Ovis aries: one gene and its partner. The protein of the gene in region 2 interacts with the protein of the main gene of each other region in a pairwise test. Links are inferred from orthologs where the notes say so. Each region holds a gene or a part of one and is shown on either strand. Other genes may lie near its edges. The genes, in order: RBM5 and DHX15.

What was found.
Region 1: the proteins of DHX15 (region 2) and RBM5 interact in binary tests that used the Homo sapiens proteins (3 or more experiments, as listed by UniProt). The link is inferred for Ovis aries from reciprocal best matches to the Homo sapiens genes DHX15 and RBM5.

The regions. Positions count from the first base shown.
Region 1 is NC_056072.1:50,279,201-50,283,015, forward strand, and holds part of RBM5 (RNA-binding protein 5), read right to left. Parts: intron 3,448-3,815; coding exon 3,287-3,447; intron 2,835-3,286; coding exon 2,737-2,834; intron 2,125-2,736; coding exon 2,037-2,124; intron 1,875-2,036; coding exon 1,797-1,874; intron 1,714-1,796; coding exon 1,641-1,713; intron 768-1,640; coding exon 682-767; intron 294-681; coding exon 209-293; intron 4-208; coding exon 1-3. UniProt on the Homo sapiens protein: Component of the spliceosome A complex. Binds to ssRNA containing the consensus sequence 5'-AGGUAA-3'. Regulates alternative splicing of a number of mRNAs.
Region 2 is NC_056059.1:44,755,561-44,759,475, reverse strand, and holds the start of DHX15 (ATP-dependent RNA helicase DHX15), read left to right. Parts: upstream 1-1,475; 5' UTR 1,476-1,637; coding exon 1,638-1,708; intron 1,709-3,915.

The DNA of each region.
Region 1 (3,815 bases), on a different chromosome or scaffold from region 2:
CTGCTGCAAAAACAAAACCCAGCACACAGTCATTCCAGGGAAAAGACTGGCTTTACTTCCAATTTTAAGCCACTGAGATGCAGAAGGTCGTCTTCTCTCATATCCCCACGTGTCCCGCTGATACCCACAAAGGGAGAGGAGCGCTTATTAAACAAAATCAACAACTAGGACCTTCCAACTGTCAACAGCCCCATGAGGTTTGGCTTACCATATTTGGTACCAGGAACTACACCAGTAGGGGAAGCGGCTGGGGCCTGTGTACTTGTGCTAGTGCTAGGCTGTGCTTCCTCAGTCTGGAAAGAACAGCAGCTTCAATATAGTTTCAACTGTAAAGCCTCTCAAGAGAACTAAATCACTGCAATCATCCAGCAGGAAGGGCCCCCTGACAGACCCACTGTAGCAATGGTCTAGGGCAATCCTTGAGCAAAACACATGCTGACAACTGTCTTCCTAAAGGTCAAGCCGAAGCATGCACAGTATAAATAGACCCTATGTGGAATCTTGCATTTAAAATACAGACACAAAATTATTTCAGTACATAATATGATTAGACAGAAAGAAGTAAAGTTGGAATGTGTATGTATCAGTCAATCCTGGCTTACACAGTGAGAAAAGGTAGTACTTGTACAGCAACAGTTTCCCCAACAATCACCAGTTCTATATCTAAGATGACAGGATTACCGGAGAGCCGGGTGGGTTGGAGGTCTGATTATACAGCTGGGGACTCTGGGATACAACAGCCGCTGAGGTCGTGGTCACCGCTGTGCCTGATGATAAACACCGGAGTTACAACAGCCAAGGCACTGAACTTTACACCAAACATCCTCACCCGGAATGCCCAATCTAGAGTCCGTCTTTGTATATGTCAGTTCTTAACCACCTAATTCCCAGTAAGTACTCTTTAACCTATGATATTCTCATTTATATAATCCTACTAGAATGTGATACACAAAGTCAGACATTCTGTATGATGGCTAAGAAGGGGAAAAAGGTTTCCACATCTGCTCTGGGGTTGAAAATAGACTTAATTGTCACACCTTTGTAACACTGGAACAAAAACTAGAGCAATAGCTTTTAAGAGTGACCCTTCTAATTGATGTCTGGACAAGAAACTGCTCAACTGAACTTACATGGGCACCCACAATTGCGAACAGCACAGAGAGGGAAAATACTGAATTCAATTCAAGAATGAACACTCATGATGGCATAGTCTCTAAGAGCTTTGTATCAGCTCCTGATATGCACAAGTGTTAGTCGCTCAGTCCTGTCCGACTTTTGTGACACCATGGACTCGAGACCACCAGGCTCCTCTGTCCGTGGAATTCTCCAGGCAAGAATGCTGGAGTTGAGAAGCCATTCCCTTCTCCAGGGAATCTTCCTGATGCAGGGATCAAATCCATGTCTTCTGCATTGCAGGTGGCTTCTTACCATCTGAGCCACCAGGGAAGCCCACTGCACAAGCAATGCCAATATCGCCCCAGAAGCTTAGGTACATGGTGACATCCCTGAAAGTGCCCAATCCCCCGTTTTACAGGGAAATGGCTCTCCTAGATTTATTTGGATCTAATGAGAACATCTAGCTCTATGTCCTCAACTGTATTTGCTTAAACAGGAGATAAAAAGAATATGAAATCTATTACCTGATGCAGATGATGCATCGGATTCTAATCCTCCAGCTTGTTGCTGATAAAACTGTTGGTAATCCTGTGAGTACTGAAGAAGAGTCCACCATTAAAGCTGCCATTCTTGGACATACTCTGGAGACCAGAAGTCAGATAATGGTCCAGTCTACCCACCTGAGCATACTGGGCATAGCCATCTTGGCCTGGCTGCAGGTAACTGTAGTCCACACTGCCTCCTTCACCACTCTGAGACTACAATGTCAAAAGAAGAGGAAACACAGACAGACTTAGTGCACACTGAGGTCTTCAAATGTCCTTGCAGAGCTTCTAAGGCAAGCACAATCACAGAGCTGACTTCTATGAATCTGGGCACCACCACCACACTACCTGGAGCAAAAAGATCCTTCCCTTTACCTGGGTGGATGACCACTGAGCAGCAGCAATGGCTGTACTAGCCACGGAGAAGGCGCTGACCCTGTTACCATCTGGTAGGACCAAGTCTCTGAAACCACAAAAATCCAACCATGTGACTTTATACCACTATGCTTCCCTATCACTTAACCCCACGCTACCCAGAAAACAGTAATCCACTCCAGACTTTACAGGAAGGTCTCCAATGCCAGCAACACCACATTTCAGAGTGAGGAAGGGTTTCCAAAGGCAAAGCCCTTAGTGGGCATGTGTCCCTGTAGTATAGCTGCTTTCTTTTGTACTCTTCTATTTAATAAGGTGTCTACTTGATGGGCAATGATACTAGAAATGGGAAATTTACATCACTAGAATGAAGCTCTACATACATGAAGCTGTATTAGCATGCTGTTGTGGAAGGAAAGAATTATTTCCAGATGGGTTTGCACCATTCTGAAGCAGTTTGCATAGCACATATTCTCAACCCATCTACCAAGTCTGTTTTGTCCTGCTCTCAAGCTTTCTGGCAATTGGTATTGAGGATAGGAGGGAATAAGTGCTAAGAAGACAAGTGCATCCTTCCCAGCCAATTAGGAAGGATTCCATCGCAGTACAGAGAACATGGGCTTCGAGTGCAGTTAGCAGCGCATTCTCGGACAAGCATGCAGATGCAGCGGTTTGAAGTAAGGGCAATGAAGCCACTCACTTTCTGGCACTTTTTGCAAAATCAACCCCAATAGTTTTGCCATCAATTTTCAAAGGAGGATGGAGACTCTGTAGTATCTGCAGCAGCTGAGAAGCATCCTGCAGGAGAATGTGAAGAAAAACAATTTTGTGATTTTTGTCATGCAACTGAAAATATCTACCACCTATCCTAGTCAAAGAAATTAAAAAAAAAAAAAAGGCAATTCATTATTATCTGTGGATATGAAATCGTGAGAAATTTTAAAAAGCCCTCTTTCAAGGTATCTAGTATTATTAAAGGAGCCAGTGCTAGGTCAATCTAAAAGCATGAAAAAAGACTAAATTGTGGCTCAGACTTCAGTTCAGCCAGTTATCTACAGGTATACCAATGGTATTTTCACCACTTACTAAAGCCATCGGCCTATAATTTAGCACTGCAATAACTATCATTACTTAAGTCTTGAACTTTGGGCTCCAAGAACATTAGACGTAGGTAGCATCACAACTGGATGAACTACATTTGCCTCTTATCTCAGTTTCTTTTAAAAGGAAAGATTCAATGAACATCTCACCATTGCAGAAGACAGCTGCACAAACGCGAAGCCTCTGTTCTGCTGGGTCTGTTTGTCTTTTATGAGGCGAATGTTATTGACAGCTAAGGACGCGTAGGGAGACAGTGCTGTCATGATGGAATCCACCACAGTGTGTGGAGCTATGTTTCGAAGTATGATTGCTGCAGGTGAACGAGACAAATGACAGAGACATGCATTTCTACCACCAATGCCTTTCAAAGCAGATTCAAGTACAAACAAACCCATTTTGGGAGGTTTCCAGTATATCTGACCCTTGAATGCAGGGGGATGAGGGGGTGCTGACCCCACTCCCGCCACGCAATAGAACATCTGTGTATAACTTTACAGCCAGCCCTCTCTACTGGTAGTTCCACATCCCCAGACTCAGCCAGTAATTAGTGTAGTACTGTGTGTGCTTGGTCGCTTCAGTAGTATCTAACTCTCTGCAGCCCCATGGACTGTAGCCCACCAGGCTCCTCAGTCCATGGGGATTCTCCAGGCAAGAATACTGCAGTGGGTTACCATGCCC
Region 2 (3,915 bases):
GCTGGAATGAAGATTGCCGGGAGAAATATCAATAGCCTCAGATATGCATATGACACCACCCTTATGGCAGAAAGTGAAGAGGAACTAAAAAGCCTCTTGATGAAAGGGAAAGAGGAGAGTGAAAAAGTTGGCTTAAAGCTCAACATTCAGAAAACGAAGATCATGGCATCTGGTCCCATCACTTCATGGGAAATAGATGGGGAAACAGTGGAAACAGTGTCAGACTTTATTTTTCTGGGCTCCAAAATCACTGCAGATGGTGATTGCAGCCATGAAATTAAAAGACGCTTACTCCTTGGAAGAAAAGTTATGACCAACCTACATAGCATATTCAAAAGCAGAGACATTACTTTGCCGACTAAGGTATGTCTAGTCAAGGCTATGGTTTGTCCAGTGGTCATGTATGGATGTGTGAGAGTTGGACTGTGAAGAAAGCTGAGCGTCGAAGAATTGATGCTTTTGAACTGTGGTGTTGGGGAAGACTCTTGAGAGTCCCTTGGACTGCAAGGAGATCCAACCAGTCCATTCTGAAGGAGATCAGCCCTGGGATTTCTTTTGGAAGGAATGATGCTAAAGCTGAAACTCCAGTACTTTGGCCACCTCATGTGAAGAGTTGACTTATTGGAAAAGACTCTGACGCTGGGAGGGATTGAGGGTAGGAGGAGAATGGGACAACAGAGGATGAGATGGCTGGATGGCATCACTGACTCCATGGATGTGAGTCTGAGTGAACTCCGGGAGTTGGTGATGGACAGGGAGGCCTGGCGTCCTGCAATTCATGGGGTCCCCGTGAGTCGGACTCAGCTGAGCGACTGAATTGAACTCAAATGGACTGGAATGGGTGAATTTAATTCAGATGACCATTATATCTATCACTGTGGGCAGGAATCCCTTGGAAGCACATAACAGGCATGCAGGAAAAAGTTACGCCTTTTTTGCCAACTTTCCCTATTCCAGTAAAAACATCAATAGACTGCATATTGTCCTTTTCTTTCTTTTTCTTTTTCAAGACAAAATGTTAAATCAACTATACCCAGATACAATTTTTTTCTTTTTTTTGAAGGCAAAACTGATTACCGTAAGTTTGACATTTTCTCACTTCAGTTTCCTCAAGGCAGCTGAGCTCAGCAGTTTCAAGTTCCAGACCTGGAGTTATAATTGGGTTCCAGTCCTAGCCCTGCCCCCCCCTAATGCCAGGGTAATGCATAGAATCACCTACTCAGCATTAGACTTTCTCTTTTCTCAGTTTCCAAAATCAGAAGGGCATGAACGACCCAAAGGCTCAACCCGCCTAGCACCCACCAAGAGGGCGGAAAGTGGTGGCAAGAAGAAGCCAGGCACGGAGGAATAAGGGCGGGCCTGCGAGGCAGCGGGCGGGGCTGGAGTTCCCGCCTCCGCTGCGTGCGCGCGCTCTACAGACGCACGCACGCATATCATACCGCGGAAGCGCGCGCGCAGGCCCAGCCCTCGTCGCCGCCGCCATTTTAGCTCCTGGTTCCGGCCGCACGGTGTAGGCTGTTGTAGCGGGAGGGGTGGGGGTCCTCCGGAGTTTAGAAGGTGCCCTCGACTGCGCGGATAGAGCCGCGAGGGTTTCTTTTTTTTCTTCCTTCATAACCGCCTGCTCGAAGAGTTCGAAAATGTCTAAGCGACACCGGTTGGACCTGGGGGAGGACTACCCCTCCGGCAAGAAGCGTGCGGGGACCGATGGGTAAGCCAGGCCGGGGGCGCGAGGCAAGGGCTCGGGCTTTGTTGGGGTCCCGGCGGCGGACGGGCCAGGGAGGGCCAGGCCGAGCGGACCCCGGGGCCCGACGCTTTGTTTCGCTTTCGGCTCGGGTCATTGGCGGCGGGGCGCGGGAGAGCGGTGCCACTCCCGGCGTTCGGCCCGGCAAGGGCGCGGGGGAGCTGAGTGGCGCGGCCGCCGCCCGGCCCAGTGGAGAGAGCGGAGAGGCCTGGCGTGGTCACTGGGGCGCCTCCTCCCCGGGCGGAGTCGAGCGAGAGTCACTTCGAGGGGAGCGGACGGGAGGGAACCGCGGACCTCGTGGTCTGGGCTCCCGGTAAGGCCTGGATCCGGAGGAGAGAGTGGGGGAGGGCGCGGCAGGAGTAGTCGCCTCCAAGGGCACTAGGTACTTCTCGGGCAGCGGGGTCTGGGAGACGGCCTTGGCGGGAGGCTGAGTGCCCAGCAAGGGGAGAAGTGGAGGCCGAAAAGTGAGAGAAGCGCGTGGATTCTGGTGTAGGCGGGGGTGGGGGAAGTTGAGTGAGGCGTGCAGACGAGGAGTTACCGGGGGATGGGAGAGTAGAGGGCCATCCGTGAGAAAAGAAAACTGTGGAATATACCTTTTGGGTAGCAGCTGGTGATTTGGGGCCGCTGAGTTTATACTTTGGCGGGAGAGCGCGTGCCTCGGTCCATTCAAACACTTCAAAGTAGGTACAAGGCAAACTTCCGCTCTGTGCCCACGCTCCCGCCATCTCCTTTATTTCCTGCTTTGGCCGAAACAGTAGTTACAGGGTTATCCCTGGGATAGATATTAGAAGATAGTCTCTCTCTTTTTCCTGTGAGTTCTTGTTTTCTGTCCCTCTTCCCCGCCCTCATTCATAAGTAGCTTTTGAAACAAGAAGATCCTTTTCAAAAGTGTCTGGTATTAAAACGGCAAAATGTCGCCCTTGGGGAGATTGCTTGGGAGTTGAAATACACAGGTGTTTTCCGATTTCTTCCTACTCGGCCTTTTTTTCAAGATGCAGAGAAATTTAACAATTGACTTTCGCAATTGCACGAAAATAAGTTCTTGTTCTGTGTGTACTTTATTCCCTGATGTACAGAGATTTATTCGAATAATTCAGGCAAGAGACTTGAAAGTCTGGATACCTTCAATACTTTGCATAATTTTGCATAGTACTGTGTGTATACTTGTGCAGAATCGCTGTGTCAAGTCTGTATAACTTTTTTGAATTTCTCTTTTCTCTCCCTTCCTTTGGGTTGATTGAGGTGTCTGGGGAGTATAAGCCAGGATAGGGTGTACTTTTTGATATCTTTTCATGTGTTGAATACGGAAAGTATAAGTATGTAAGATTTTAATCTTGTAAATTTTTTAGTTTCCAGTGTTTATGTCAGTTTTGTCGTTTTCGGCAGTGGACCCTCACCCCGCCCCCTCATAACACACATCAAAATTTTACAAACTCTTTAGACCTGGAAGTCACTTGAAAGAGGAGAGTATGATTGTTCACACTCAAGGGATTCAAGGGATGAGGAATGGAGACCCAGAGTTGTTAAGGTGGCTTGTGCAACCTTTCGGTTTACAGCTGAATTTAGAACCTTGATCTTTTGATTTTCAGTTTGCTTCTTGCATTTTCCAATACAGCACACAGACTATGATTAGTTCAGAGTCATTACAGCCTGTTTTAGTGACGTGTATATTGGGTTAGTGAAGTAGGGAACACTTGCTTCTTTGTTCCTGTGAAGCAAAAGTAAGTTGCTTGTCATCTGGCTAAGGTGCAGCTTAGCATCTTAATCTCTCTCTCAGAGTTGAATTGGAAAACAATAAATGAATTCACTTATGTTATGATATATGTGCACCATTCAAGTGCTTGGGATTAGTGGTCCCATGATAGGGACATGGATTTGCGCCCTTTTTCTTGTAAATCTGGCATCTTTAGTAAAAATATGAACTTTTCAGGTCTTTCATGGTGAACTTATGATTCTCCTGGGTATTATAAATGACATCTACCTGTAGATGAAGGAGAGTTCATCTTTGAAATAAAACTCCAGTTCTGAGATGTTTTGGTGGGGCATTTGTATAGTAATTACTATGTCACTTGAATGTCATTTCTCATAGAACTTCATCTAGCAGTGAGTTTACAGTGTTTATAAGTGCTTGGGATTCCCACCCCCACCCCATTTAATAATTTTAAAAGTTAAAT